Callithrix jacchus: one gene and its partners. The protein of the gene in region 1 interacts with the protein of each later gene in a biochemical or structural test. Links are inferred from orthologs where the notes say so. Each region holds a gene or a part of one and is shown in the gene's direction. Other genes may lie near its edges.

The links.
Region 2: the proteins of CEBPA (region 1) and SMARCA4 form a complex in vitro, tested with the Homo sapiens proteins (2 studies listed by BioGRID, with this or other methods). The link is inferred for Callithrix jacchus from reciprocal best matches to the Homo sapiens genes CEBPA and SMARCA4.
Region 3: the proteins of CEBPA (region 1) and TRIB1 form a complex in vitro, tested with the Homo sapiens proteins (2 studies listed by BioGRID and IntAct, with this or other methods). The link is inferred for Callithrix jacchus from reciprocal best matches to the Homo sapiens genes CEBPA and TRIB1.
Region 4: the proteins of CEBPA (region 1) and CDK2 form a complex in vitro, tested with the Homo sapiens proteins (2 studies listed by BioGRID, with this or other methods). The link is inferred for Callithrix jacchus from reciprocal best matches to the Homo sapiens genes CEBPA and CDK2.
Region 5: the proteins of CEBPA (region 1) and PARP1 form a complex in vitro, tested with the Homo sapiens proteins (2 studies listed by BioGRID, with this or other methods). The link is inferred for Callithrix jacchus from reciprocal best matches to the Homo sapiens genes CEBPA and PARP1.

What each region holds. Positions count from the first base shown.
Region 1 is NC_133523.1:30,118,486-30,125,110, reverse strand, and holds CEBPA (CCAAT/enhancer-binding protein alpha), read left to right. Parts: upstream 1-2,742; 5' UTR 2,743-2,865; coding exon 2,866-3,942; 3' UTR 3,943-5,352; downstream 5,353-6,625. UniProt on the Homo sapiens protein: Transcription factor that coordinates proliferation arrest and the differentiation of myeloid progenitors, adipocytes, hepatocytes, and cells of the lung and the placenta.
Region 2 is NC_133523.1:10,115,935-10,120,146, forward strand, and holds the start of SMARCA4 (SWI/SNF-related matrix-associated actin-dependent regulator of chromatin subfamily A member 4), read left to right. Parts: upstream 1-1,412; 5' UTR 1,413-1,690; intron 1,691-4,212. UniProt on the Homo sapiens protein: ATPase involved in transcriptional activation and repression of select genes by chromatin remodeling (alteration of DNA-nucleosome topology).
Region 3 is NC_133517.1:71,929,541-71,935,007, reverse strand, and holds the end of TRIB1 (tribbles homolog 1), read left to right. Parts: intron 1-1,253; coding exon 1,254-1,719; 3' UTR 1,720-3,651; downstream 3,652-5,467. UniProt on the Homo sapiens protein: Adapter protein involved in protein degradation by interacting with COP1 ubiquitin ligase. The COP1-binding motif is masked by autoinhibitory interactions with the protein kinase domain.
Region 4 is NC_133510.1:63,707,240-63,713,986, reverse strand, and holds the start of CDK2 (cyclin-dependent kinase 2), read left to right. Parts: upstream 1-2,620; 5' UTR 2,621-2,855; coding exon 2,856-2,971; intron 2,972-3,697; coding exon 3,698-3,775; intron 3,776-3,887; coding exon 3,888-4,008; intron 4,009-4,615; coding exon 4,616-4,786; intron 4,787-5,309; coding exon 5,310-5,411; intron 5,412-6,747. Other genes in the region: melanocyte protein PMEL, read right to left, coding at 1,481-1,556. UniProt on the Homo sapiens protein: Serine/threonine-protein kinase involved in the control of the cell cycle; essential for meiosis, but dispensable for mitosis. Phosphorylates CABLES1, CTNNB1, CDK2AP2, ERCC6, NBN, USP37, p53/TP53, NPM1, CDK7, RB1, BRCA2, MYC, NPAT, EZH2.
Region 5 is NC_133520.1:22,857,347-22,863,385, forward strand, and holds part of PARP1 (poly [ADP-ribose] polymerase 1), read left to right. Parts: intron 1-1,137; coding exon 1,138-1,352; intron 1,353-2,971; coding exon 2,972-3,071; intron 3,072-6,039. UniProt on the Homo sapiens protein: Poly-ADP-ribosyltransferase that mediates poly-ADP-ribosylation of proteins and plays a key role in DNA repair.

The sequences.
Region 1 (6,625 bases):
TAATAGACCTACCATAAACACTGATTTCTCACAGTTCTGGAGGCTGGACGCCCAAGGCCAGGCTGCCAGCCCTGTCAGGTTCTGGTGAGGGGCCTCTTCCCAGCTTGCAGACGGCCACTTCCTCTCGGTGTGCTCCTGTGACATTCTTTTTCTGATAAGGCCACCAATCCTATCGAATTAGGAACCCACCCTTATGACTTCATCTCACTTTACTTCCTAAAAGGCCTATCTCCAAATAGTCACATTGGGGGTTAGGGCTTCAACATAGGAATTTGGGGCAGGGACACAATTCCATCCACAGGACCTCCCCAGACAGATCTGATCTCTGCCTCCTCCACAGCGCCACCTTATTCAGGGCAGGGCATCTATTCATCACAGCACATCCACCCTTTATTCCCATTCGTGCCTCCTGTGCATTTGATGAATGAATGAGGTCTCATCCCCTACTCCTTCTGTGTCCTCCTTCCTCCCAGCAGCCTCTGTGTGACACTTTATTAGTCTCTCCCACTGTCCCAGTTCCCAGAGGCAGGGACCACCTTCTCACGCATCCCTGGGCTCTCAGCACCCTGCACAGGGCAGGCCGGGGTGGGTGAATTCTGGTTCAATTGTAGGAGGACCTAGGGCCCTTGGGGTTGGAGACTCCCAGGGGGGGAGCCCCACTGCTTGCCATTTTCACCCCCACACATTCATCAGCCCCTTATTGGACAATCTTATCCCCATACTGAGGTTTCTTCCGGCCCTAAGCGGCAGAGTTCTTGATCTCTGGGCAGGCAACAGCAAGCTGTGCAAAAGAGGCCAGACATGGCCTTCCTCCCTGCACTGCACGGGCCAGGAATCGTGCATGTACAGTGGAGATTCTTTGTTACTACCTAGGAAAAGCCATTAGTTTTAGCACCGCAGAATAAAAAATGCAAGTCGCTCTGGGTGTTTTTTTGATTTTGTCCAGGTCTCCCTCCACAGGTGGATGGTGTATGAACCGGTCCTGTATTTGGCTCAGCAAGCAGCTCTTCGGCTCAGATCGGGTTATTTATTTAACTTATCTAGTTTTTACTCCCTCCCGTCCAAAAGCGTCAAGCTAAAAATATCTTGTTTATGAGCTCTGGACCGAAAACGAAGCAGTTGGGCTATTAATCACTGGGAATATGTTGAATAGGAACTTGATTAAAGCACAGTGTGCATTGCCCAGATGAAACTGCTTCTTTACTGCAATCGCTATGGAAGCTCGGAGCCTCTCCAGCAGTGTTTTTAACTGCACCCCCTCGGAGGCTCCTGGGCGGGTAGTGGCGCCTTGCCAGGCCTAAGAAGGCCACAGTCGGCGAAGGGGTCTTCCCTCACCTGAAGGCAAGCGAGCCTCTAGCCGGGACCCAGGCGGCGTCTGGCCTCAGCGCCAGTCCCGACGGGCGGCGCGGGCAGGGGCAGGAGACACTTGAGGGCCCCAACGGGGTCTTTGGGGACTGACAGCTGACAGTCCGCAACGGGGACTGACAGCTGACAGTCCGCAATCCCCGGCTGCGGTAAAGAAAGCGAGGGACGCACATGGCTGGGGGTCTCTGTAGCAAGCTCCTTCCCCCGCCGCGGTGAGAGGGTCAGCGTGCCGCACCTAAGGGGCTCCAGGGCCCGGCGGCCACGGCACCCAAGATCCCGGGGACCCCAGCGTCCAGCGAACCACAGGGCAGAGTTCTCCCTGTGGGTGCTCGGACCTGGCGACCTGGACACCCTCGCTCCAGCCGTAGGCGTCCACCTGAACAGGGAGTTGGGGGAGGAAGCCGTGGCTTCGGGCCTCGCGGGCTACGGTCCCCGTCTCGAGGGATCCCGGCCGGGAGTTAAGTTAGTCTCCTCCCTCGGTGCGCCCCTCCCCGTGCTCGCCCCGGCGTCCAGCTCAGCTTGTCCCGGGAGCCCGCCCATCCGGCAAGAAAAAAATCAGCAACACCAAGCCGAGTAGTAGCGCCGGCCCCGCGCGCCTAGGCAGCCGAGCGCTCCGGGCTGGAGAAATAATTACGAAGAAAGTTTTCCAGCCGGGGCGGATCGACCGGCCAGATCCTCCAGACTCCCGGGCCGCCTCTGCTCCCCGCGGGGTCCTAGCGCCCTGCGGCGCCCGCTCATGGGATCCCGGCGTCCTCGGAGAGGTGCCTCTGCGCGGAATCACAGGGGTCGCCTGCAGATCAGAGCTAGGAGACGCAGAGTCACCGCGCTCCGGGCCTCTCCGCGCGTCCCAAACGACCCCCCACTGGCCCCCGCCGGCCCGGTCGCTCAGCGCCGCAGCCTCCCAGGGACACGGGTCCCAGACAGGCCTGGCCTGGTTCAAGCTTTGAAAGCGAGTCCGCACCACAGTAGCTCGAGACCAAGACTTGCCCTCCGCCCCGCTCCACCCCTACCCCGTGCAACCTCGGGATGCTCCAGGGCTCCCGGCCACGGCTGGATATGAGCGCCTAGGGAAGGCCGGAGGAGGGGGCCCCAGCCACCTACCACGTGGGCGCGGAGGCGACAGCCGGGCCCGGGGCGGAGCTTGGAGCGAGCGCCGCGGCCCGGCTGGGTGAGCCGGAGGCGGTGGGCGTTGCGCCTCAGCCTGCCTGTGGTGCGCCGCGCTGGGCCCCGCTGGTTCGCCCCCACCCTCCGTCTGCGCGCTAGGACCCAGCGGACCCCGCGCCGCCGCCGCCGCCGCCAGGGGACAGAGGCCGCCTCGGACTCTAGGGGGCGACTCGGACTGCAGGGTATAAAAGCGGGGCCTGCGCGGGCTGGGCCATTCGCGACCCGGAGCTGCGCGGGCGCGGGCGAGCAGGGGCTCCGGGTGCACGGCGGCGGCGGCGCCCCGCGCTGGCTGGAGGCCGCCGAGGCTCGCCATGCCCGGAGAACTCTAGCTCCCCCATGGAGTCGGCCGACTTCTACGAGGTGGAGCCGCGGCCCCTGATGAGCAGCCACCTGCAGAGCCCCTCGCACGCGCCCAGCAGCGCCGCCTTCGGCTTTCCCCGGGGCGCTGGCCTCGCGCAACCTCCCGCCCCACCTGCCGCCCCGGAGCCGCTGGGCGGCATCTGCGAGCACGAGACGTCCATCGACATCAGCGCCTACATCGACCCGGCCGCCTTTAACGACGAGTTCCTGGCCGACCTGTTCCAGCACAGCCGGCAGCAGGAGAAGGCCAAGGCGGCCGCTGGCCCCGCGGGCGGCGGCGGCGGCGGCGATTTTGACTACCCCGGCGCGCCCGCGGGCGCCAGCGGCGCCGTCATGCCCGGTGGAGCGCATGGGCCCCCACCCGGCTACGGGTGCGCGGCCGCCGGCTACCTGGACGGCCGGCTGGAGCCCCTGTACGAGCGCGTCGGGGCGCCGGCGCTGCGGCCGCTTGTGATCAAGCAGGAGCCCCGCGAGGAGGACGAAGCCAAGCAGCTGGCGCTGGCCGGCCTCTTCCCCTACCAGCCGCCGCCGCCGCCGCCGCCCTCGCACCCGCACCCGCACCCGCCGCCCACGCATCTGGCCGCCCCGCACCTGCAGTTCCAGATCGCGCACTGCGGCCAGACCACCATGCACCTGCAGCCCGGTCACCCCACGCCGCCGCCCACGCCTGTGCCCAGTCCGCACCCCGCGCCAGCGCTCGGCGCCGCCGGCCTGCCGGGCCCAGGCGGCGCGCTTAAGGGGCTGGGCGCCGCGCACGCCGACCTCCGAGCGGGTGGCGGCGGCGGCGCAGGCAAGGCGAAGAAGTCGGTGGACAAGAACAGCAACGAGTACCGTGTGCGGCGCGAGCGCAACAACATCGCGGTGCGCAAGAGCCGCGACAAGGCCAAGCAGCGCAACGTGGAGACGCAGCAGAAAGTGCTGGAGCTGACCAGTGACAATGACCGCCTGCGCAAGCGGGTGGAACAGCTGAGCCGCGAACTGGACACGCTGCGGGGCATCTTCCGCCAGCTGCCAGAGAGCTCCTTAGTCAAGGCCATGGGCAACTGCGCGTGAGGCGCGCGGCTGCGGGACCGCCCTGGGCCAGCCTCTGGCGGGGACCCCGGGAGTGGTTTTGGGTCGCCGGATCTCGAGGCTTGCTCGGGACGTGCGAGCCAGGACTAGGTGATTCCGGTGCCGCCTGAAAGCCTGGCCTGCTCCGCGTGTCCCCTCCCTTCCTCTGCGCCGGACTTGGTGCGTCTAAGATGAGGGGGCCAGGCGGTGGCTTCTCCCTCCGAGGAGGAGAGAATTCTTGGGGCTGAGCTGGGAGCCCGGTACTCTAGTATTAAGGATAACCTTGTGCCTTGGAAATGTAAACTCTCTGCTCCGATGCCTACCGAGTAGGGGGAGCAAATCGTGCCTTGTCATTTTATTTGGAGGTTTCCTGCCTCCTTCCCAAGGCTACAGCAGGCCCCTATGAGAGAAGGAAGGGAGCGGCCCGTGGCGGGAGGAGGAGGGCTCAGGGAGCTGAGATCCCTACAAGCCAGCCAGCCCCAGCCGCTCCTCGGCGCCTTTCTTATAGAGGGGTGGAAACATAGGGACTTGGGGCTTTGAACCTAAGGTTGTTCCGCTGATTCTACATGAAGGTGGAGGGTCTCTTGTTCCGCACCTCTCCCATCCCTCCGCACACACCCCACCCCAGCCTGCCACAGGCTGGGCTTCCCCCTGGGGCGGAACTCACTGAGATATGGGGGTCACCAGGTGACCAGTGGGAGCCACCACCCCCAGTCAGGCCAGACAGCTAGATCGTGGGTCAGCTCTGAGGATGTATACCCCTGATGGGAGAGAGGGGACCTAGAGATCTGGCCCCTGCGTGAGACGGTTGTAGGGGGTGAAGGGCCACTGGGACCCTCAGCCTTGTTTGTACTGTATGCCTTCAGCATTGCCATAGGAACACAAAGCACGATCAGTCCATCCCAGAGGGACCGGAGTTATGACAAGCTTTCCAAATATTTTGCTTTATCAGCCGATATCAACACTTGTATCTGGCCTCTGTGCCCCAGCAGTGCCTTGTGCAATGTGAATGTGCGCGTCTCTGCTAAACCACCATTTTATTTGGTTTTTGTTTTGTTTTGGTTTTGCTCGGATACTTGCCAAAATGAGACTCTCCGTCGGCAGCTGGGGGAAGGGTCTGAGACTCTTTCCTTTTAGTTTTGGGATTACTTTGGCTCCTGAGGGACCAATGAGGTGAGGGGTGTTCTCCTTTGCCCTCAGCTTTTCCCTGGCCCCTCCAGCCTGGGCTGCCCGCAAGGCTTGTCCCCCAGAGGCCCTGGCTCCTAGTGGAGAAGGGAGGTGGCCTCCCGCCAACACATCACTGAGGCTGGGAGCGGGGAAGGACGGCTTTGTTCTCTTCTTTTGCGGAGAACATAGAGTCTCACCCTAGATGTTTTATGTATTATATCTATAATATAAACATATCAAAGTCAATGTCGGTGTCTTTTTAAAACCAGAAAGAAGCTGCTTCCAAGGTTGTCTGTGGGCCAGGTCACATTTGTAAATAATACAGCATTTTCCCTGGCTGCCATCCTGACTTTCATGAGCTCTCCATCCATCCCCAGCCCCTCTTTACCCTAAGTGGGGAGGGACTTACTTCCCCAGGCAAGACAAATAAATAGCAGAGTACAAGTCTCTAAATGGAGAATGCCCAGAGCCTGAAGGCAGTCTCTTGGAGTCATGGGAGGGGGCCATGGTGGGGTTTACAGGGCTGAGGTCTTGGCGAGGCCTCTCATCTGCCCCTGGGAGGAGAAGAGAAAGTCCTCTGCCTGAGCTCAGCAGCCCCAGGCTCAAGGCACCCTTTGTCCAGACTTCCTTCCAAATCACCTTCGGCTCCAGTGCCTCACTCATACCCACTGCAGCTCCAGCTTCCAACAGGACCCTTGGCCAGCAGGAAGAGGATTCCAGTGGTAGGACCCTCTAACCCTCCCCTCTTTCCCTGGACCATGTGGCTACACCCTACCCTGTGAAGCCCCCAGGGCAGCTTGAAGAGAGAGACCCTTCCATCCAGCCCTCCACACCTGCCCTGCCCCAGCCCTCACAGTAAAGGAGACTGAGGCAGACCAGCAACAGCAATCCAGCCCTGCCCCACACACTGGCTGCTCAGGAACTGCCCCAGCATCCACACTGCCCACTGCATTCATCCCTGACCCATCAGGGGACTGAGTGCTGGCATGCCCCCAACTCTGACGAGCACCCTCTAAGGTCAGGCACCCTGGCATCCACTTAACAGCAGTGACAGCCAAGCAAGGGAGGGCAGCCCTCATCTCTGAACTAACAAGGCCCGGGAGGAAGCAGCCCAGGAGGTTGATGGTGCTTTTTGGGTTTTACCCTCTCGGAGGGTAAAAGATAAATTGCGCTTTTTTTTTAACTGCACCAAGACAGTGTTCACTAAGCGGCTTACTGTATGTGCCAGTGCAGGCTAGAGCATTTTCGAGAAGTTACACGTCCCTTTTATATACTCTGGAAGCTTAGCTTTACCTGCCTTCGTGGTTAGCTGGCACCTCTTCCGGCCCCCTGCTCTGTCCTGTGTCTGGCCGCCTCCTCACCCACTGCCGCCCTTGGCAGAGGAGAGGCCACGAGCCCAGTGAGGAGGCGGTGCCTGCCCCACCACCCTGGGAACAGAGGAGGCAGAGCCCTGCCGCGTGCCCAGAGGCCTGGGGCAGGCCACAGCTTGCTAAGTCCCAGCAAACCCTCTCTGAGTTCA
Region 2 (4,212 bases), about 20 Mb from region 1:
GGTCTCTTTATTCAGAGCATGCTTAAAAGAGACCAAGTATATTAAAAACAGACAAAACGCCGGGTTTGGTGGCTCACACCTATAATCGCAGCACTTTGGGAAACCAAGGGGCGGATCACCTGAGGTCAGGTGTTCAAGTCCAGCCTGTCCAACATGGTGAAACCCCATTTCTACTAAAAAATGCAAAAAATTAGTCGGGTGTTGTGGCAGGCGCCTGTAATCCCAGCTACTTGGGAGGCTGAGGCAGGAGAATTGCTTGAATCTGTGAAGTGTAGGTTGCAGTGAGCCGAGATCACCACTGCACTGCAGCCTGCCTGACAGAGCAAGACTTCGTCTCAAAAACAAACAAAACAAAATAAAAACACAGAGCGGAGACCAAGAGGCTCAGGGCCTTCAGTCTCACAGGGTTTCTTTTCCTCACTGCCGGCATGTCTGCACTCAAACGTGTTCTCTGCAATGACTGCTTCTCTGGCTGCCCTATTTAAAATGTCCACGATCCTCCCAGTCTCCACCTTACACTATTTTTTTTTTTTTTTTGAGACGGAGTTTCATTCTTATTGCCAAGGCTGGAGTGCAATGGCGCGATCTCGGCTCACTACCACCTCTACGTCCCGGGTTCAAGCGATTCTCCTGCCTCAGCCTCCTGAGTAGCTGGAATTTCAGTCGTGTGCCACCACGCCCCGCTAATTTTTGTATTTTTAGTAGAGACAGTGTTTTGTTATATTGGCCAGGGTGGTCTCGAACTCCTGACCTCAGGTGATCTGCCCCCGACAGCCTCCTAAAGTGCTGGGATTACAGGCATGAGCCACCAAGTTTGACCTCTCACACTGCCCTATTTCGCTCATTAATCTTGCTTCTTGTCCTCCTCCCCAACTAGACCGTGGGCTCCACGACGGCTTGGACACAGCAGCAGATCAATCAACATTTGCTAAGCTAATTAATGGCACTAGGGAGGTTTTGCAGAGAAGGCGACCACGGTCGGGCCCCACCCGGCCTCGCCAAACAGGCCCCGCCGCCCCGGCCAGGGATCAAAGCGGTTCCCCCTTGGCCCGCGGGAAACCACTGCCCGGTCTAGGCCCAGCTCGCCCATCCTACGGTTCAAGTTCCTATTTTCGAGTCTCAGGGACCTCCCTTCCCCACGGACCCCACTGCCACCGGACTCCCTTCCCCCAATTAGCCCGCCAGAGCCCTCGCCGCCACCGCAGTGACGCCCGCTGTGCGCATGCTCTGGGGCGATAGGACGCGCGGCGTGCAGAGGGCAAAGCTACCCGTGCGCAGGCGCGGGGCTATAGCGGCCCCAGTGGGGCGGTGCGTCGGGCGCTCGTGCTTCCTCCTGGACGCGCCCACCTCTGTCAGCCTAGGGGCGGGAGCGCACGCGCGCAGGGAGCGGAAGGGCGGACTGGCGCGCGCACGAGGCCGGGCGGGCGGCGGAAGCTGGAGAGGCCGTCCGCGGAGCTGGGGGAAGGGGAGCCAGCGAGAGCGCGCGCAGCGGGGGCGCGGGCGGCGCGCGCGTGTGTCTGAAGGGGGGGCGGTGGCCGAGGCGGGTGCGCGCGTGAGGCTTCCCCTCGCTTGGCGGCGGTGGCGGCGGCTTCTTTGTTTCGTGAGGGGACGCGAGACGCTCACTCTGCCCCCGGCCCCGCGCGGAGGGGCGGGGGCGGCGCCGGGAAGGCGACGGCGCCTGCCGCTCCCGGTAAGGAACGCGGGCCGCGGGGGCAGCGCGGCGCGGGGCTGGGGAGGGCGGTTTGAATGGAGCCGGGCGCTGAGGGGGGAGGGGGCGACCGGCGCGCCCGGTGCGGGGCCAGGGTACGGCGGCGCCCGAGGATCAAGAAGCCCGGCCGGCAGCCGCGCGCGTGGGGAAGGCCACAGCATCGCGAGGCCGCGGCAGGGACGGTCCCCGCGGAGCGGCGGGCGGGTGGGGGACCCGGGCCGCGTGGAGGCCGCGCGATCCCCTCCGCGCGCGCTCTCGCCGGGGTCGCGGGACAAAGCTCGCCCTTCTCGTCCGGCACCCCCACAGTCGCCCTCCCAATTTCAGCGCTTGCAACAATAGGCAGGCGTTGGGGCTTTTCTGGCTGCGTGGTAACGGGTCAGACCCTAATGTTGCCTTTTTGGCGAAGCTGCGATTGGGGCTCAGTAGCCAAACCTCCAGATAACGTCCGGCGTCGACCGGACACGGGCATTGGCGACCCCCTTGGGCTAGCCGACCTCAAATTGTCTTAAAAACGCGTCATTCCAGATTTTCAAGGAAAGGTAAAGGACTCCTCCAATCCCTTGGAATTAGTGACTTCAGAATGTTTGCCCGAATTGGGGTTGGGGAAGTTTGGGGATGGGGTCGGCTGCAAGTAGGGGACCGCGGAGGAAATCGTTTGCTGTATAAAAGCAGTGCTTAGGTTTTGCATCCTTTTTACTGCTTCCCAATTGGTTTTTAAGGTGAAGGCTTTTTTCTTTTTCTTTTTTTTTTTTTTCCTTCCAACGTGGACTTTTTAGGCGAGTGTTTTGTCCCTGTCTTGAAGACACCAGTCTTGATTTTTTTTCTTTTGGTCAGTGACTCCTTGGGGAAAGTGCAAAGTGAGTAAGTGGAAAAGACACTTCGCAAGAATTTGAAACAAGTTTTCAGTTTGGATTGATAGGGTGCATTCAAGTTTGATTCCTGGTGCTGTCAGTCACTTAGCACACTGTCACTTTAGGGAAGTGGCTTAACCTCGCTGAACCTCTTAGTTTTCCTCCTTTGTGAAAGGGGGTAACCTCACAAATGGAATTGGTGAACGCCTGTGAAATGGTTCCTGGCAAGTGGGAAGCGATATTGTTACTGTTTGGTCCAGTGTCCCTTATTGTTCAGCAAATACTTGTTGAGGCCCTACCGAGTGTTGGATGGTCGGGGGTTGGCTCCTGGAGTCTCTGCAGTCTTGGAGGGTAGCAGGTGGTAAATGCGGGAAGAAACCCTCCTGGCCTGTCATTTAATGCTTATAACTTGCACTGTGAGAGGGATGCAGCAGACATGCAGGGAATGAGTGGTAGCTGGAGATCATGGGGGCTGCCTGGAAGAGGGGGCCTCAAAATCAGGGAGGATAATAGGATTTTTTTTTTGAGATGGAATCTCGCCTGTTCCCCAGGCTGGAGTGCACTGTCCCAATCTTGGCTTACTGCAGCCTCTGCCTTCCGCGTTCAAGTGATTCTCCTGCCTCAGCCTCCCAAGTAGCTGGGACTACAGGCGCCCATCACCATGACTGGCTAATTTTTTAAATTTTGTATTTTTAGTAGAGATGGGGTTCCCCCGTTTTGGCCAGGCTGATCTCACACCCCTGACCTCAGGTGATCCACCCATCTCTGCCTCCCAAAGTGCTGGGATTAATATGTGAGCCACCTCACCCGACCAGGACTGTGTTTTGACTTTCCCTGGCCACCTTGGGCTAGCCATTGTTCCCCTCAGTTACGCTCACACATCACCTTGGTCCTTTCTCCTGTAGCTGTCACCACCAGCACGGTGAGAGCTGGGACTGTGTCTACCTTGCTAGCCCCAGAGTACCCTGGGCCTGATGCATAGCAGGTCTTTAGTGAATATCTGTGGATTGAAGGAGAGGGTCCTGTGGAAGATCGTGTGAGCATTTTTGTTCAAGGCCTGGTACAGGATCGGGTGCAGTGGCTTTGGGCAGTCCCAGCACTTTGGGAGGCTGACGTGGGAGAATTGCTTGAGACCAGGAGTTTGAGACTAACCTGGGCAACATAGAGAGACCTCATCTCTCCAAAAAATACAGAAATTAGCTGAGTGTGGTGACAGGCACTGGTGGTTCCAGCTACTTAGGAGGCAGGGGTGGGAGGATTGCTTGAGCCAGAGAGGTAGTGAGCCAGAGGCTGCAGTGAGCCATTCTTGGGTTCCTGCATTCCAGCCTGGGCGCCAGAGTAAGACTGTCTTAAAAAGAAAAGAAAAGAAAAAGCCTGGTACAGGACTGGGGATGGATTATAAGGGGTTCACGTTAGTTGTTTGTTTTTGAATTTTCCAAGTCATTGTTTTCCCAAACCTCAGTTGTCCTCCTCTCCCCTATGATAGCGATAAGGAGTGCTTATTCTGTAATCTGACCTCCTGAATTCACACCCGGTTCTCTAAATCCTAGCTTAACCTCAAGCGAGGTGCTTAGTACTAGGGCCCCCCACTTGTGAAACAGGTAGGACGAGGATGCCTGAAACTTCACAGGCTTCTTCTGAGGGTTGAATGAG
Region 3 (5,467 bases), on another chromosome or scaffold:
TGCAGGGTTTTAGTGCTGTAGCAGCCAATCATGGGGAGACAGTGTGGGTTGAGTCATATTTTCCGTTTACAGAACCAATGGGTATTTTACATAACGACAGGGAGGTCACGCTGAGGACATACTGAAGTTAGCACATGTATACTACACTCCAGGGAACAGGAAGGCAGGAAGAAAAAAAAAATACCAGACCTTTGAGAGGAAAAGGAATTGACCCATCAGCCAGTACCAAATGTTTGCATTTAACTTCACTAGTGACTTACTGAAACAGGGCGATTTCAGAGAAGCAGGCAGAGGCAGGGTGTCACCAGATATTAGAGCTTTCCCACCTGGCTTTGGGCTTTGGGGAATCCAGGAGACATGGGTGGTTGGTTCTGAATCAGGAGGCACCTGCAGCTTCATAAGAGAGCCTTTGACTGAGGTTTCTGGGACTTTCGTAGTTACCTGAAGACAGACGCCCCTGTAGAATAAATATGCCCACATGTTAATGTGCCGTCGAGGGGAGTGTGTGTCCCTATAGAAGAATTTCCGGGGCCCTGCCTCCCTGAAATCCCTCATACTTTTGTTTGTGGGCATAACCTCTTTGTCCAGGCAAAGTGTTCTTTGCAGTTAAACACCCCAATAAATGTAATTAACATTCCTTACAACTTTCCCATCATAATTGTCACAGCCTGGGCCTAGGTGGACAAAGTTCATTCTGCGTGCGTGTATCAGTGTGGGCACCCGCGCTGAAAACCTGTGTATGTAATAGCAGTGACTTTAGGCTCCGTGTTCTGTAATGCAGTGTGGGTCCAGGGAGCCCCGGCAGTTAGCGGCATAAGAGAAAAGATGGGCTCGTAGGATGCTCAGGCCCTCCCTGAAGAAGCAAGATCTGCTGCTCTTCCCTGATAGCTTTTGTAGAGAACGCAGCACTCCCCTGAGACAAGCTCCCAGTTCTGCAATGCGAACTTAGTAGATTGTGTAACTCCTATTAGGATATCTCTTGTAAGCTCTAGCATTATGAATACTATTTGGGGCTTTGCATCATACCCTCCACCCCAGGCGCTCTGTCGATACTTTGCAAACATGTATTGCAGTTTGTGTTGGTTTGTGAAATCACGAGTCCCCAGCAGTTGCAGGCGCTGCTTACTGGATGAAGGGGTAAATAGCATTCCTTGAGCCTTTGCTGTTAGTGCCTGTGGGCGCTGTTATTGGGAAGGCTTTGTTTTTCATAGCAGCTGGTATGGCAATAATGGCTCGGTTCCTCTCTCTTGCAGAACCCAGCTCAGACTAGAAAGTCTGGAAGACACACACATCATCAAGGGGGAGGATGATGCTTTGTCAGACAAACACGGCTGCCCAGCCTACGTGAGCCCTGAGATCCTCAACACCACCGGGACCTACTCTGGAAAGGCTGCGGATGTTTGGAGCTTAGGGGTGATGCTGTATACCCTTCTGGTTGGACGATACCCCTTCCATGACTCGGACCCCAGTGCCCTTTTCTCCAAAATCCGGCGTGGACAGTTCTGCATTCCTGAACACATTTCCCCCAAAGCCAGGTGCCTCATTCGCAGCCTCTTGAGACGGGAGCCCTCTGAGAGACTCACTGCCCCCGAGATCTTACTGCACCCCTGGTTTGAGTCCATCTTGGAACCTGGGTACATCGACTCAGAAATAGGAACTTCAGACCAGATTGTTCCAGAGTACCAGGAGGACAGTGACATGAGTTCCTTCTTCTGCTAATCCCCAAAACCTCAGAAACCTCATAATTCTTACACCTGGTATTTCCATTTCTAAAGATGGACAGGCCCTTTGGCATGGTATCAACCAGATAATGACTGCGTTAGGATGAAGGCTGCTGAACTCGGCATGGCGCCACCTCTTATCTGTTGGGAGGAGTGACTTTACTGATGTGAGCGGCATACGCTGTGATTGGCTGCCCTGCAAAGTTATTTCTCTTAAGGAACTCTCGCCAACTCTCTGCTGGATTTGGGAGTTCCGCACCTTTTACGGATGGCAGGAGTATGGACATCCTACACCCGGTGGTCAAGTGTGTCATAAACTCGAGCATTTGAATGGGAGAAAAAGCAGATCGTATGATGACATATTTTGGGCAATAACCGTATTTTAACAGGGTGACACATTGGGCCGTTCAGTCTGCCATCTTTGAACTCATCTCTGGTAGCTAGACGTGCTACCGCAGCTTCTCTGACGGGAAGGTTCCTTTTTTGATTTAACACTCACCCATTCTTCACACTCACATTCAATGACTCTGCTCCGTTTTTGGAGCAGACCGTTTTAAGTTGCTCAGGAGCTGATGGAACCATGAACCCAGACTCTCCTCTGTTTCCTGCCAAGACCACATCTGCACTAATGCCTTCTCCCTGACCTTGACACTTTCCCCCTCTAGCTATGAAAGCACTTACCAGCCAAACGTGGACAGCATCGCAAAAGATTCCACCTCCCCACGATTTCAGAACTCTGAGGTCAGACAGAGAGACTCCAGATTTTAAGAAATAATATGAGTGCTTGGAAACTATTTGCTTTTTAAGTTCCTTCTAAATATGTTAGTACCTACCCTTTTTACCCACCCTTTACTTTTTCCCCAAGACCATCTCAGGGTGGAGCGTTCTGTCTAGGAGGAGGAAGATAAGGAGGCTCCTACCCACCTCTCCCAAAAGCAGACATTAAACATCTCTGCGCTTTGAAGAGAGTGAATTTCGGATAGTCTTCTGATTCTCAGACTAACTTCCAGAAGTACACTTAAGCCCTCCCAGACATGGTCCGCCTCTGGCGTTGTGTGTGCAACTGCAGTTTTGCATGATGGGTTGTTGATATTTCAGATGTGTGGTTTATGAATATATCTGTATAATCGGCTTCTGGAGCGAAACAGCAAACCCCAAATCTTTAAAGTTGGAAGGGTCTTCAGCAATCATCCGGTCCAATCTCTTTCCTCTTTCTGCCACCTCCCAAGGCAGAAATCCCCCCTTCAGCTTCTTTCGTAGGTGGGAATCCAGCCTCTGTTAGATACGTCCAGAGATGGGAACTCACTCCCTCCAAAAGACAGAGCTTTAATGGAGAAACTATAACTTCCATTAAAAAGCAAGTTCAGATGAAATATCAGTAACTGTCTTGGACAGTGCTGAAATCAGGTGGTTAAACGGGTAAACAAAAACATACTGTATTTTGAGAAATGGCACAAACATAGGCAGTCATCCTTAAGGGCTACGCCTAGGCAAACTACTAACATGCATTGTGAGAATGCCGTGTATACCTCACGTACTGTGTACTTTGTAATACATTTTACCTTTTATACCTGTGTCCGATTTGTTGTGTTTTGTTCTGGCTTTGAGGCTTGTTTTGTTGTCTGTGTCTGTCTGAATCACCTGCGTGTCTAAAACCACGTGAAATGTGAATGATTATTGGCAATATTACCTTGACAGAATCATGGGACTTGGAGAAGTGGGGACAGAGGCCTCTGTCTATAATGCTCTCGTGGTTGCTCGACTGTTGTATCTGTGATACATTATCCGGCTAAGGACGCTGGGTTGGCAGGGGCTTCTGCCGGGAAAGCTAGAAACACTAGGTTCTTCCTGTACATATGTGTATATATGTGAACAGTGAGATGGCCGTTTCTGACTTGTAGAGAAATTTTAATAAATCTGGTTTCGTAAATAGGTGTGGTGAATTGCTTTCGAGTTCAATCTGCTTTGCTTTATGCAGCTTCACCCAGAGGTTGCAAAGGTCTCCGGCCTCAGGGCTTACCATCTGGTTGGGGATGGGCAGCAAGGGGAAGGTGGAAGAGGAGACATGTTGATGGTGATCAACAGTGACCTTTGTCGGACTTGAACCCATTTGCTTTTGTCTTTCCAGTGGGCAGATTTATTTTGATGGGATGGAGTCCATTTGGTGACACCAAGTTGGTGGGTGCTTTGGATTAGATTTAGACTCAAAAAACATTTTTTATTTTTATTTATTTATTTATTTATTTATTGAGACGGAGTTTCGCTCTTGTTACCCAGGCTGGAGTGCAATGGCGCCATCTCGGCTCACTGCCTCCTGGGTTCAGGCAATTCTCCTGCCTCAGCCTCCTGAGTAGCTGGGATTATAGGCACACACCACCATGCCCAGCTAATTTTTTGTATTTTTAGTAGAGACGGGGTTTCACCCATGTTGACCAGGATGGTCTCGATCTCTTGACCTCGTGATCCACCCGCCTTGGCCTCCCAAAGTGCTGGGATTACAGGCGTGAGCCACCGCGCCCGACTCATTTTTTATTTTTTTTATGCTCTCTTTATTTTTATAAGACAGGGTTTCATTGTATTAGCCGGCTGGTCTTGATCTCCTGACCTTGTAATCCACCTGCCTTGGCCTCCCAAAGTGTTGGGATTATAGGTGTGAGCCACCGCGCCCAGCCTATTTTTTATGCTCTAAGCAGAATCAGAATCAAGAAATATTTGAAGATGAGCATGCATAAATTAACCTTGAGTTCTAAAAATCAACTTGTCTGTTTTGGGCCATGGACCCCTGGGAATTTGAGAAAGCTGAGAACAGTGTCACGTGCATAAAACAAAATTTTGGATTGGCTGCCGTGGCACATGCCGGTAATCCCAGCCCTTTGGGAGGCCAGGGTGGGCAGATCATGAGGTCAGGAGTTCGAGACCAGCCTGGCCAACATGGTGAAAACCTGTCTACTAAAATACAAAAGTCAGCTGGGCATGGGGGTGGGCGCCTGTAATCCCAGCTACTTGGGAGGCTACGGTAGGAGAATCGATTGAACCTAGGAGGTGGAGGTTACAGGGAGCTGAGATCGTGCCACTGCACTCCAGCCTGGGCGACAGTGAGAGTCTCAAAAAAAAATTTTTTTTTTGTCATTGCAGCGCTTCACACAGATCTCCGAAGGTATCCTGGGACTTCGGATTGTGAACCAATCCCCTTTCATTAGACTTAATTAAAATGGCTAAGCAAGGCATTTTCTTTCTTTTACTTTTTTCTTTAAGTGTAAAAGAAAAATGGAAATGGAAGCAAGGAAAATACTGAGCTGTCATTAATTTGAATCACAAAAGTAGAGAAAGGAAGAGGGTTATTGATTGAGTTTATAGCTTAACTATTTATAGCTTCACTTCAGAATCTATTCTAAATTAAGAAGGAAATTTGCATCCAGATTGACTTTTAAAAATACTTCACACTGTAAAGTGTAACAACAGAAAAATGCACAAATGTTCACAAACAACACACAGGCATAACCAACAGATCCACAAAGCAAAACACTGGTAGGGCCTCAGGAACCTCTGCCTGCCCCTTTCAGTTTCTGCCTAGTACCTGCTCTAAGCGTAACCACCATAGGATGGAATTTTAACTCTAACCTGTATAGGTTAGAATGAGGGTGAACTCATCAACTCTGGACTCACACAAAGAGGTGACAGAAGGTAGCGATGACACAATTGCCCTTTTTTAGGACTCAGGCTGAGATCACCCAGGAAAGCAGACG
Region 4 (6,747 bases), on another chromosome or scaffold:
ACTGACAGGGTGTACAGCTGCCATGACTGGTCACACCAGAGGGGTTCTTTTCCCTTAGTCATTTCCAGGATCTTAGGCCTAAGGCTTACTTTTCACAGGAACTGGATGCAAGGTACTACAACTCCTTTATAGGAGGAGAGGCTCTTGCTCCAAGCCTGCCATACAGCATATGCCCTTTCAGGCAGGGATGCTACCGCCTGGGTCTTTGGTTCTTGTCCTGGTCTGGCTGTTTTCCCATGTACTGCTTCTGCTTTGTAACTGCTCTAGGCATTCCTCCTACTACAAACTACTATATGGTTATATAGAAAAATTATATAAATCAGCACTAAATGTGTTAGTACAGCTCCAACTACAATACCTACATAATTATATGGAAAGATTATATGGAACTAAGTATAATTGTATATATAAGCTAAATATAGCAAGCAGTAAGTTATACTTCAGGCACTAATTGTGCCTGGGGTCTGCACAGTTCTTCCTCGGTAACCACGGGGGGTGTTACCCACACAGAGTCTTGCTCTGTTGCCCCAGCTGGAATGCAGTGGCACGATCTTGGCTCCCTGCAACCTCCACCTTCCAGGTTCAAGGTTCAAGTGATTCTTGTGCCTCAGCCTCCCGAGTAGCTGGGATGACAGGCATGCACCACCATGCTAGCTAATTTTTGTATTTTTAGTAGAGATGGGGTTTCACCATATTGGCCAGTCTGGTCTTGAACTCCTGACCTCAAGTGATCCACCCGCCTCAGCCTCCCAAAATGCTGGGATTACAGGTGTGAGCCACTGCACCAGGACTCATCCCTTTCTAATGTGTGCTGTAACCCTAGTTGACTCTGCTGGGGGAGAATCTGGATCATCTCATTGAGCATCCTACCACTAAAGCAGGAGAAGTCATAAGATACCCTATTCTTTCTCCACTTCCAACTCTCCCTCCTCAGAGCAGCACGAGACATTCCAGACCCTCTCACCAACCACCCCCCTCCACCCCCCCTCCCCCGCTCCTGTCACGAGGCCCAATCCCCCAGAGCCTTTTCATGTGATGCTCAGCTGAGACCCCTTTGCCTATCTCTCTCTCAGTCCCAGAACAAAATTTCTGGGCTGTGTTCACCCGTACCCATCCCAAGAGATGTATCTCCTTAGTCTTCTTACCCAATACCACATTTTCTGACTCCCCACTTTAAATCCCCCACCCCAAGAGACATTTCATCCCTTTGGAGCCCCTGCTCCAGCTCACTGCCAAGGAAGCCTCAGAATCAGTGCCACAGACCTTCTATCCTTCGCCCCTCCAAGCATATGAAATTATTTTCAGGCTCAATCCCAAATCTCCATGTAGGGAGGGAGCCCAGGTGCCCACAACCTCACAAACCAAATAGGAGGGAGAAGCCTGAAATATTGCCAGTATCTCCCATTAGGAGGAGAGAAACCAGAGCAGGGGAATTCATCCCCAAGTTCACACTTGCTCATGTCCACATATCCGCACATACCTTTTGTAGCCCCCACAGCCAGTAAAGCACCTATCACAGCCAAATGGAGAAAGCACCTTTTCATCACCAGACGCATTGTGTTCTTCCCTCCAGCAACCAAAGACACTGAGGGGCTGGGATAGGCCCCTATATAAGAAAAGGGTGCTCATTTGCATAGCCCTTCCTCTTCTCCTTCAGAGAATGCCTGGGAGGGGCCGGAGGAGAGGAAAAAGAAAAAACAAACTGACAAAGGGAACCTGGGCCCTAGACATTGCTTTCCCATCCTGCTACTCAATGACAGTTTCTGGTTTCACAGGGTCATTCTCATCTTGATACACTCTCGGGCAAGAGCTGACTGAAAGGCAGCTGCATAACACATACCAGACACAACAGTTCATCATGGGAGAGTGAATTAAACCAGGAATTTCTCAAATAGACAGAAACAAGGGCGGGCGCGGTGGTTCGCACCTGTAAGTAATCCCAGCACTTTGGGAGGCTGACGCGGGTGGATCATGAGGTCAGGAGTTCAAGACCAGCCTGGCCAACATGGAGAAACCCCATCTCTACTAAAAATACAAAATTAGCCGGGCATGGTGGCACATGCCTGTAACCCTAGCCACTCGGGAGGCTGAGGCAGGAGAATTGCTAGAACTCGGGAGGCGGAGGTTGCGGTGAGCCGAGATCGCGCCATTGCACTACAGCCTGGGCAACAAGAGGGAAACTCCGTCTCAATAAAAAGGAAACAAAAAGAACCCTGCACCCCAAAACAGAGACAGCGTTGGGGTAGGCTATGAGGCGGAGGCAACGACTCTTCCGAGGCCAAGGAATCCTTTACAACGAGATCCCTGACTTCCTGCTTTTCAAAGGAGGCTCCTGGGCCAGGTGGAATTTAACCTTAAGTCGATACATATTTTCCCCGGGAGTGGTGGAAATAGTGAGTTAGAAATCAAGAAATCCCTACAGACTAGAAACATAGAAACTCGGACCCTAAGCAGGTACTTGGAAAGAGTGTTCAGCCGCCCCACCGGGAAAGAAACTTGTCTAGCCCCCAAGAACCAAACTTGCCTGGGGCGGGGTCATTTGCGGGGAGGAGCTCTGGGCTGCCCCCCCCGCTCTGACGTTGACCAATAAGAAGGTCTGGGGGCGGAGCCAGGGAAACGCGGGAAGGTGGGGCGGGGCCTCTGGTGGCGGTCGGGAACTCTGGGGGAGGCGGCAACATTGTTTCAAGTTGGCCAAATTGACAAGAGCGAGAGGTATACAGCGTTCCATCCCGACGCCGGGCCACGGTACTGGGCCCTGTTTCCCCCTCCTCGGCCTCCGAGAGCTAGGGACCGCCTTCTGCAGGGTTCCCAGGCCCCCGCTCCAGGGCCGGGCAGACCCAACTCGCTGGCGCTTCATGGAGAACTTCCAAAAGGTGGAAAAGATCGGAGAGGGCACGTACGGAGTTGTGTACAAAGCCAGAAACAAGTTGACGGGAGAAGTTGTGGCGCTTAAGAAAATCCGCCTGGACACGTGAGTGGCCTCTGTACCCGGGACTCCTAAGGGGACCTCCTTAACTGTGCCCCCCAACCCCCCACGGGCGGGTAGCGGTCCAGCGACCGGAAGAGAGCAGGGAGGGACTTCTTTAGAAGTAGAGGGGTGGGTTGGGGGCCTGTAGAAGGTGGAGAGTACAGGGTGGTGTAGAATCTATGGAAAACTTTCTTCTCAAACTGAGCCCGATGGCGTCCCCAAATTGTGCGACCACAGAGACTCGGGGAGAGAAAGGAGGCCTCTGAGATGAAGTCCAAGACTCTCCATGGAGTTGAGTTATGTGGGAACAGACGAGTAGCGCCTTTCTGAATGAAGAGCCCTCCTCACTGCCCCACCCTCACCTAAGAATTCTCTCCTCTTTCCAAAGAATGGCAGTTGAACCTCACTGGCCCCTCTGGGGAGGTTGGGTGCTACTCCTGCATTTTTAAATTTATTTTTTATTTTCTCACCCGTTACAGTCTCCCTGCTTTACCTTCACCAGGCAGCTTTACTTACCTACCCCTGGGAAAAGAGGAGATAATGACCTTAATATGTCCAAAAGCCACACCCTGACTACCCAGGAATTAGCTCCTTCCAGCACCCTTTCTCTTCTCTCACTTTCCTAGGGGGTGCTGGGTGGTGCCTCCTTGGGGGAAAGAAATGACTGGGAGGGGGAAAAAGGAGTGTTTGTAACCATATTCCCATCTCTGTTTTCCCAACCTCTCCAAGTGAGACTGAGGGTGTGCCCAGTACTGCCATCCGAGAGATCTCTCTGCTTAAGGAGCTTAACCATCCTAATATTGTCAAGTAAGTATGTGTCTGAGAGTAGATCCAGTTGGAAAGAAGGATGAGTTCTGTCTGTACAGTGTGGCCATTTCTCTCTCTCGCACCTCCATTTCCTTGACCTTTCCTTCTCTAGGCTGCTGGATGTCATTCACACAGAAAATAAACTCTACCTGGTTTTTGAATTTCTGCACCAAGATCTCAAGAAATTCATGGATGCCTCTGCTCTCACTGGCATTCCTCTTCCCCTCATCAAGGTAATGCTTCTCATCAGCTCCCCCCTATCATGGACGTGTCTTGGGGGACTGATGGCAGGCAATTCTGGGTGATATTTTATGATCTTGGCCTTCTTCTGAGCCCTCATCTACTACACACACACACTCCCCTTCTTTTTGTGTCTTCTTCCCTGCTCATTATACTCATTAACTCCAGGGTTGGACTGAAGAATCAAAGTTGAAACTCTAGTGAGTCAACCTAGCAACTCAGGTGGGAGGTCAGATGAAACTCAGATAAATGGGATTTGAGAGCACCTGGTAAATTCCTCCAAAAAGCCCTTCTGTTTGGTGGAAGAACTAGCCAATGAGTCTATTATCTATTTTAGGGCTGGATTCTTCACTCCCAGAGCTACTTTGAATCTATTAACAAACATTTATTCAATGCGCAGCATATAGAAAAGGAATGCAAAGTTGAGTAAGACTTGCTCCTTATCCTCTCTGGGCTGACAGTTTAATGGGAGAAATACCTTGTAAATATGTAATTATAATCCAACGCAGTAAAGGCCTTAGTAGAACCATGGGGGCGCAGAGCAAACCCAATCTGCTCATTGTGGTGAAGAAACACAGTCCTCTCTTTCTCCTTTGTCAGAGCTATCTATTCCAGCTGCTCCAGGGCCTAGCTTTCTGCCATTCTCATCGGGTCCTACACCGAGACCTTAAGCCTCAGAATCTGCTTATAAACACAGAAGGGTCCATCAAGCTAGCAGACTTTGGACTAGCCAGAGCTTTTGGAGTCCCTGTTCGTACTTATACCCATGAGGTGAGTCCCTTTTTGCCTTTCTTCTCTGAGTTTCCCAAGAGGTGTTAACTAGGGCATTCACAAAGTTACTAAAAATATCTGGCCAACAGTTTCTTACTAGGTAGAAGTAATCTCTTGACATCCTAAAGAGTCCTAGGGTATGCATGGAATTCATACTGTGTTGCTAACTGGGCTCACGCCTGTAATACCAACACTTTGGGAGGCTGAGGTGGGATAATCACTTGAGCCCAGGAGTTCGAGACCATCATGGGCAACATAGCAAGACCACTCTCTACAGAAATAAAAAATCAAATAAAATTATGATGACCATTTGTCTCAAGTTTTTCCAGAAAGATCTCAAATTGGGGTTTCAGAAAACATGGTCTCCAGAACTATGGACTGAAAATCAGTGGGAGGGCAAAGATGGAGGGAAGGAAACTGCTTGTTAAGAGGCCAAGAGTTAGCAGAGTAATGCTGAGGAACTGAGATTTGGGACTCTCTGTACCCTATAAACCACCCCACCCTCCCTATTCTTGTCCCTCAGGTGGTCACCCTGTGGTACCGAGCTCCTGAAATCCTCCTGGGCTGCAAATACTACTCCACAGCTGTGGACATCTGGAGCCTGGGCTGCATCTTTGCTGAGATGGTATGGAGGCTTGCCCAAGTTCCACCCAGCCCCGTTCTCCCCACATCCAAGAACAACAGAACTGTTCTTGGCCCAGACCTATGATGCTTCTATCACAGGGTTCTCTTTCTAAAGTAGCACCAAGGGGAATGGTGAGGAAAGGATGCAACTGTTACCCCAATATCAACCACAATGTTAGGATATCCAACAACAGCCTTAGTACCTAGTATACATCTCTATCCCTGAAATGAGGTAAAACATTTCTGCATCTGTTTTAACCATAGTCTGCATATATTTGGGAGAATGATTCCATTTAGTGCCTCTTTTATTTTAGGGCTTCACTTCAAGGCCTGTAGACCTTGTTGTATGGTGCCAGGAATGTAGTGAAGCCAGTTGTGGTCACTTTGTTCACACCCTTCATTTAAACTGCAGATTTAGACAGGGCGCAGTGGCTCATGCCTGTAATCCCAGCACTTTGGGAGGCTGAGGTGGGTGGGTTGCCTGAGGACAGGAGTTCAAGACCAGCCTGGCTAACATGCTGAAACCTCATCTATACAAAAAATACAAAAATTAGCCGGGTATGGTGGTACAAACACCTGTAATCCCAGCTATTTGGGAGGTTGAGGCAGGAGAATCGCTTGAACCTGAGTGACGGAGGTTGCAGTGAGATGAAATCGCACCACTTCACTCCAGCCCAGGTGACAGAGCGAGACTCCATCTCAAAAAAAAAAAAAGATTGGTGGGGCATGGTGGCTCTCGCCTGTTATCCAAGCACTTTGGAGGCCAAGGTGGGCAGATCACCTGAGGTCGGGAGTTCAAGACCAGCCTGACCAACATGGTAAAACCCCATCTTTTTTTTTTTTTTTTTTTGAGGCGGAGTTTCGCTCTTGTTACCCAGGCTGGAGTGCAATGGCGCGATCTCAGCTCACCGCAACCTCCGCCTCCTGGGTTCAGGCAATTCTTCTGCCTCAGCCTCCTGAGTAGCTGGGATTACAGGCACGTGCCACCATGCCCAGCTAATTTTTTGTATTTTTAGTAGAGATGGGGTTTCACCATGTTGACCAGGATGGTCTTGATCTCTTGACCTCGTGATCCACCCGCCTCAGCCTCCCAAAGTGCTAGGATTACAGGCATGAGCCACTGCACCCGGCCCTAAAACCCCATCTTTATTAAAAAAAAAAAAAGATTTAGATCACATCCCCTTTCAACCTCTGGCTTTTCAGACTGAAGGATCCTTGAGGCCTGGCCTTATGTAGAAGCTCCCATCTCCTTTAATACAACAGCGCAGTGCAGTAGGCCGAGGCTTCAAATCAGCAATGTTTTATGGTCCTTTATCTGTGTTGTAACCAAGAGCTTA
Region 5 (6,039 bases), on another chromosome or scaffold:
TGACAGCCAGTTAGACAAAATGGACAGAGACACTGGTAGAAGGGAAAGCTTGTGCCCTGCAGCCTTCTCACCCTTCTCTAATGTGACATGCACATATTAATTGATTCATATAAGGCATTAATTGAAAGTTTCTGCCTCCTGGAGGCATTGTACAGAAAATTGAGGTAAGCAGTGGGTATTTACAAAAGAAAAACATGGAATTGCTTTATCTTTTCCAGCTACCTTCAGCCACCAAAAATTTAAGGCAAACATTAAGATCCTCTTCACCTCAAGGGGAATGCTGGGTGGTATGTGCTGCTGGGTTGCTGGTTTTATGTATTGTCAGGAGCTTGCTGTGCTGCATTCTCTGGGTTGAGCCTCTCAGGCATGGAACTCTCCTGGGAATATCAGGCCTGGGGATTGGGGACCTGCGCAGGTTGGCAGGACTGGATTGTTGCCTGTGGGTTTATTACTCCTTCTTAAGGAGTGTCGTCTCTAAAGAGACTGAGGCCATTGGAGGGTGGGGGTGGACAGAAAATCCCTGCTAGTACAAAAGTGCTGCATTGGGGGCTGGGTGCGGTGGCTCATGCCTGTAATCCCAGCAGTTTGGTAGACTGAGGTGGGAGGATTGCTTGAGTCCAGGAGTTCTGGATCAGCCTGGGCAACATAGTGAGACCTCGTCTCTACAGAAAATTAGCCAGGCAAGGCTGAGGTGGGAGGGTCGCTTAAGCCCGGGAGGTGGAGGTTACAGTGAGCTGAGTTCAAGTCACTGCACTCTAGCCTGGGCAACAGAGCGAGACCCTGTTTCAAAAAATGAAAAGAAAGGGCTGCATTGGAATCCCATGCATGTGTGCTTTTATGCCTGCCCCAGGTCAGCAGAAACATCTTAAGGGGAATGTTAGCATTTCTTCATATGTCCAGACAGGTAGGTAGGTAGCCAGCCATTTGGATTTAAGGAACCCTGAGTCTTGAGGGTAACACACAATCCTTGAAGACCTGAGCGAGCCAAAACCTCTCAAAAGCCCATGAGTCCTCAAGTTGTCATGCAGGCCTCGGCTTGGACCTGCAGCTCCTCACTGGCTGGAGCACAGGCTGCCCCATCATGTTCACCATCATTCCTCGTCACTCCCTTGGTACCACATACGGTTTTTCCTGCAGGGCCAGATGCGCCTGTCCAAGAAGATGCTGGACCCAGAGAAGCCACAGCTAGGCATGATTGATCGCTGGTACCACCCAGACTGCTTTGTCAAGAACAGGGAGGAGCTGGGTTTCCGGCCTGAGTACAGTGCAAGTCAGCTCAAGGGCTTCAGCCTCCTTGCTACAGAGGATAAAGAAGCCCTGAAGAAGCAGCTCCCAGGAGTCAAGAGTGAAGGGTGGGTGGAGTGCCGCGGGGTTGCCTTGAGGGTTCAGTGAGGGGCTCGAGGGAGGTCTGAAGGCTCTACAGGTTCCACACCACTCCTGTGTTTTCCTTCGCTACTGTCAGTAAGCCAGGGAGATGCAAACTGAGGAACGGTGACAGCAGAGATGTTGGGGCAGAGGACAGGGTAGGGAAGGATAGCAGGGGGTTTCCATGGGCCGAGAGCCTTCTGCCCTGTGAGACCTGCTTCCTGGTGGTCTGTTCCCTGTCCAACATCTGATCTCCATGGACAGGCTGACTACACTTTCCCACGACAGCCCTTTAGATACTTAAAATACCACCCTCCTTCCCTGGGCAATTATTCATTTTGCCTGGGTTGATCTCTAGGAACGATGCTGGGAGAATTCTGACCATTTTTAGTTAGAGGGTAGGCAGTGGATAATTTTCCTGGCTTAGAGTTCAGAATGATAAGGATTTTGCATTGTGATAAAATTTAGAATGGGAAGGCCCATCAGTGACTATCTTGAATCCATGGATGCCTCTTGCTCTCCAGTTAACCCTCTGCTGGTCCCTCAGCCTCAGTTTGGAGAATTGCTTGTTAACAAGCACACCAGGGGTGGTGTGGCAGGGCCTAGTATGCACCCTGCTCCTTGGACAGCGACTGGGCAGCCATCAATCAGCAATCACGCTATCTCAGTTCATAACACCTGTTCATTGCAGCAGCACTTGTGGCTCCAGAATGTGCAGGAAAACTGAAAGATCAGGCCATGGGTCAAAAAGCCCACAGGGCATTGCAGCACGTGATACAGGTGTCAGGAGTTCATCAGCTCCCACTTAGGCCATGATAACCAGCAGAATATGTGGAGCACGTTTTGTATGGCAGGCACTGTATCAAGCCCTGTATTTGGGCTGTTTCATTTGCCCATCACCAGAGTTCTGTGAGGCAGATGGTATTCTTTACCCTATTTTATGGGCAAGGAAAATGCAGAGTTTGTGCTCAGGTCTATGTGATAGCTGAGACTGACTCCAGACCACTGTGGCTGTCCTGCCCCTGTGCCTGGGGTCAGCTGGTTAGCACTGCTTTGACTGTCACTTCTTGTCTGGGTTTTACATAGCAGTACAGCCCTACCTCTGCGAGCAGCTTCTTGGCCTTGCAAGCAGCTATGTGTTTTAGCTGGACAGGCTTAGCCTCCTTGCACTTGTGCTTTGTCTTTCTGCAGTCGGTGTCCCTTAGCCATGGGCTTATGTTCAGCCTAGTCCCTGCTAGAACCTTCCAGGCCACGAGATACGTGGGTTTGTTTTGTTTTGTTTTGTTTTTAAAACCTCAGACAGGGCCAGAGCCGTGGATTCTTATAATGGGTTGTTCTAAATCCCTGGAACAACCCTAGCCCATCTCTTTGGCTGGGAGAGTATGTTCTGAAATGGATGGTGTCTCCTGCTGTCCTGGTTGCAAATACTGCCTGAGTAGACAGTGATTGTCTGAGACCATTGAGTGGGGCAGGGGTTGGGGAGTGACAAGCGTGAGCAGGCCCTACAGGGAGTTGATAAAATGACAGGAAGATACTGCATCAGCACAAGTCATTGGGTATCATTTTTAATGACTCCGGCTCTTTCTCATATCCCATTGTCCTTCAGAAAGAGAAAAGGCGATGAGGTGGATGGAGTGGATGAAGTGGCCAAGAAGAAGTCTAAAAAAGAAAAAGACAAAGATAGTAAGCTTGAAAAGGCCCTAAAGGTGAGTTGTCAGCTCCTTTCTCCTTTCGGCATTCTGCTGTCTGGATTCTCTCCCATTCCGGGAAGACAATTCAAGCAATTATGTCCCACTTATTAAGGCCTTTAGCAAATTGATAGCTGTCATTAAATAGCATGGCTTTTTCCCCAGATTGTTTTCCCTCGTCCCAAAGAAACCATTTTTATTTGGAAGAAAATCCACATTAGGCTGTAGATGTCTGGCATGCAGCCAGGCTTGAGCAAGGCCTGAGTGCTCTGTTCCCACTCACCAGCCTCATACCAGATGACAGAGATTCATGCTTCTGCCAAATTATACACCACTATACATCCTGCACCTTCGTGGTCACTTGCAAACATCAGAAAGTAAATACTAAATTAAAGGATGCCAAAGATTCCTAGCATAGACAAATGGCTTGAAGAGATCAAGTGTCTCCACATTTTTTAAATGAATATCTCTCATTTTTAAAAAAGGAATAGATGCATGATAACGACAGGAGAAAACTGTCCATTATATCAGTGGTCCGTGACCAGAAAGTTTCATCCCTGTGTTGATTATGTATGTGTTGAAGCAAAGCAAAAATTATTAATCAGACAATGCTGGATTTGGAAATTGGGGGAGAACAGTTGGTCTCTTCTTGAGAACATGATTTCCATGAGCCATCTGCTTGTGTCTCTTGTATGAATATTCAGCTTTTACTGATGGTAAGAAAATTAGAAGCAATTTCTGATATGGCTCTAGTTGCTAAAGAAGAGTCACACATTTTGTTCAATTGTCTTACAGTAAAAAAAGTGTCTGTCATGCCCCAAAACTGGCTGCAGAGAACCGTGGTGCCACCTCACATTGGCCATTCAGTGAATTTAGTACTCTTCCCGAATAATGGCAGAGATGTTTAGAGTCAGAAAATTAAAATATCCCTCAGCATCCCCACCCTGGCACATCTGTGTCTTCTGGCTCCCCATCCTTGGTCACCTAGGTGAGATTGTACTTCTTCCATTTAACCTTGTAGCTCTATACCTTTTCCTCATGCTCCATGTCTCTATTCCTGGTGTCCCAATCTGCTGTGTGTGATGGAGAGGGGAAGTGAGAGAGCCCTTAAAAATGAAGCTAGGAAACAGGTGCAGACGTGTGTCTGCAGCTTTGCCAGTGGAGTTAAAAATCCTCTTTTAATAGCAACCCTATGGGCATGATAAGGCTGGCATTTTTGTCTCCTTTTTACAGAGGTGGGATCTGAGCTGAGGTGGTGAATAACATGCCCGTTTTCCTGGGGAAAGAGGAGACTCACTTCGTCTTTAAAATGGGGAGGCTGATACCTTCCTCAGCAAGCTTGATTGTTATGAGAATAAATTAGATGAGGCCGGAAGCCATGGCTCATGTCTGTAATCCCAGCACTTTGGGAGGCTGAGGCAGGTGGATCACTTGAGGCCAGGAGTTTGAGACCAGCCTGGCCGACATGGTGAAACTCTGTTTCTATTAAAAAAAAAAAAAAAAAAAAAAAGTTGGCCAGGCGGGGTGGTGCATACCTGTGATCCAGCTCCTCAGGAGGCTGAGGCAGGAGAATTGCTTGAACCCAGAAGGCAGAGATTGCAGTGAGCTGAGATCATACCACTGCACTCCAGCCTGGGCAACAGAGCAAGACTCCATCTCACAAAAAAGAAAAAGATAATGAGATGACACATAAAAGCATCCAACCAATAGTAGGCACTTAAAGATTAAAACTTTCATAAATGGTGTGAAGGAAAAAGAAAAAAAAAAAAAGAGAAAGGGAGAGAAAAAACAAGACTCAGTCAATAAATCCATTCAACAGATGTTTTCACACTGATGGACGGGCCTGTCTGCCTGGCTAAGGAGCAGGTGATGGCAGGAGGCCTGTCAGTTTGAACTGATTGAAAGAAACAGACCTTTAACCTCTAGAGTAACGTTGACATAGACTCATTTCCTACCTAGATACCAACGTTTTGATTATAGCCCCAGGACTGCCACACAACATTGGAGAACAATTCAACTGCTTTCAAACTGCCAGTGAGGCTTAATTCTGAAAATTCTCTCCTGATTTTATTTCAGTGAATATTGTTCGTGAATTCTATGGATGCCTCTACAAATGACCAATTACACAATTATACTTTGACACCTGTCAGTCTTCATACAGTCTTCATATATTGGTATAGAAAAAAATGAGTATTTCAAAAAATGATATGTTGAAATTATATGTTATACATACATAGTTTGTATGATATAATTTCAACACTATAAAATTATTTTTAAATATATTATTAAATATATCCTCAGTGATTTAACACTGTTATTATTCTTCATCCTTCCCAAGTTACTGAATCAGTGAACCATAGTTTGGAAGTTTATGGAAGATTCACTTAGTCTCTTTCTCTGTCTCCATAAAAAGATACTCTCAGACACATAAGCAGCTTAGTTAATCATCAATGCTACACAGAGAGCTTTGTCCAAAAAAAAAAAAGTATATGTTTCAAAATATATATTTAAAATATATATTATTTTTTAAAATTATTAATAAAAATATCAAAAAATTATATACTAAAAAAATTAAAACTTTCATTTTCAGAAGAGCTTAAATACATGATACTAAATATAATAGACCATCAAGGAAATTGGTGTTTGGGAATCAGTCCTACTCTAAGATTGGTGAAGAACAGCCATACGCTGCCTCTAGTTGCTGATAAATGTGGGCCCTGGGCTCAGCCTAGTACTTCCAGGCTCTTAACTTTGTCTCCTAGGGCTGGGTTCTGAGGACTGGTTCCGTGAGCCTAGTGCAATTTTCCCCACACTCTTAGGGCTTCCTCCCCACTTTCCACAGTATTCTCTGAGAGACCACTCTCCAGGTTTTAATTGGTGTCCACAGGAGCATTCCTGGGAGTCAGCTCCTGTGCTGATCACCCAGGTTTGGACGGGTAGCTTGCTGGTGCGCAGCTGTGTAACTGGAGGCTCAGCATGTCCAGGG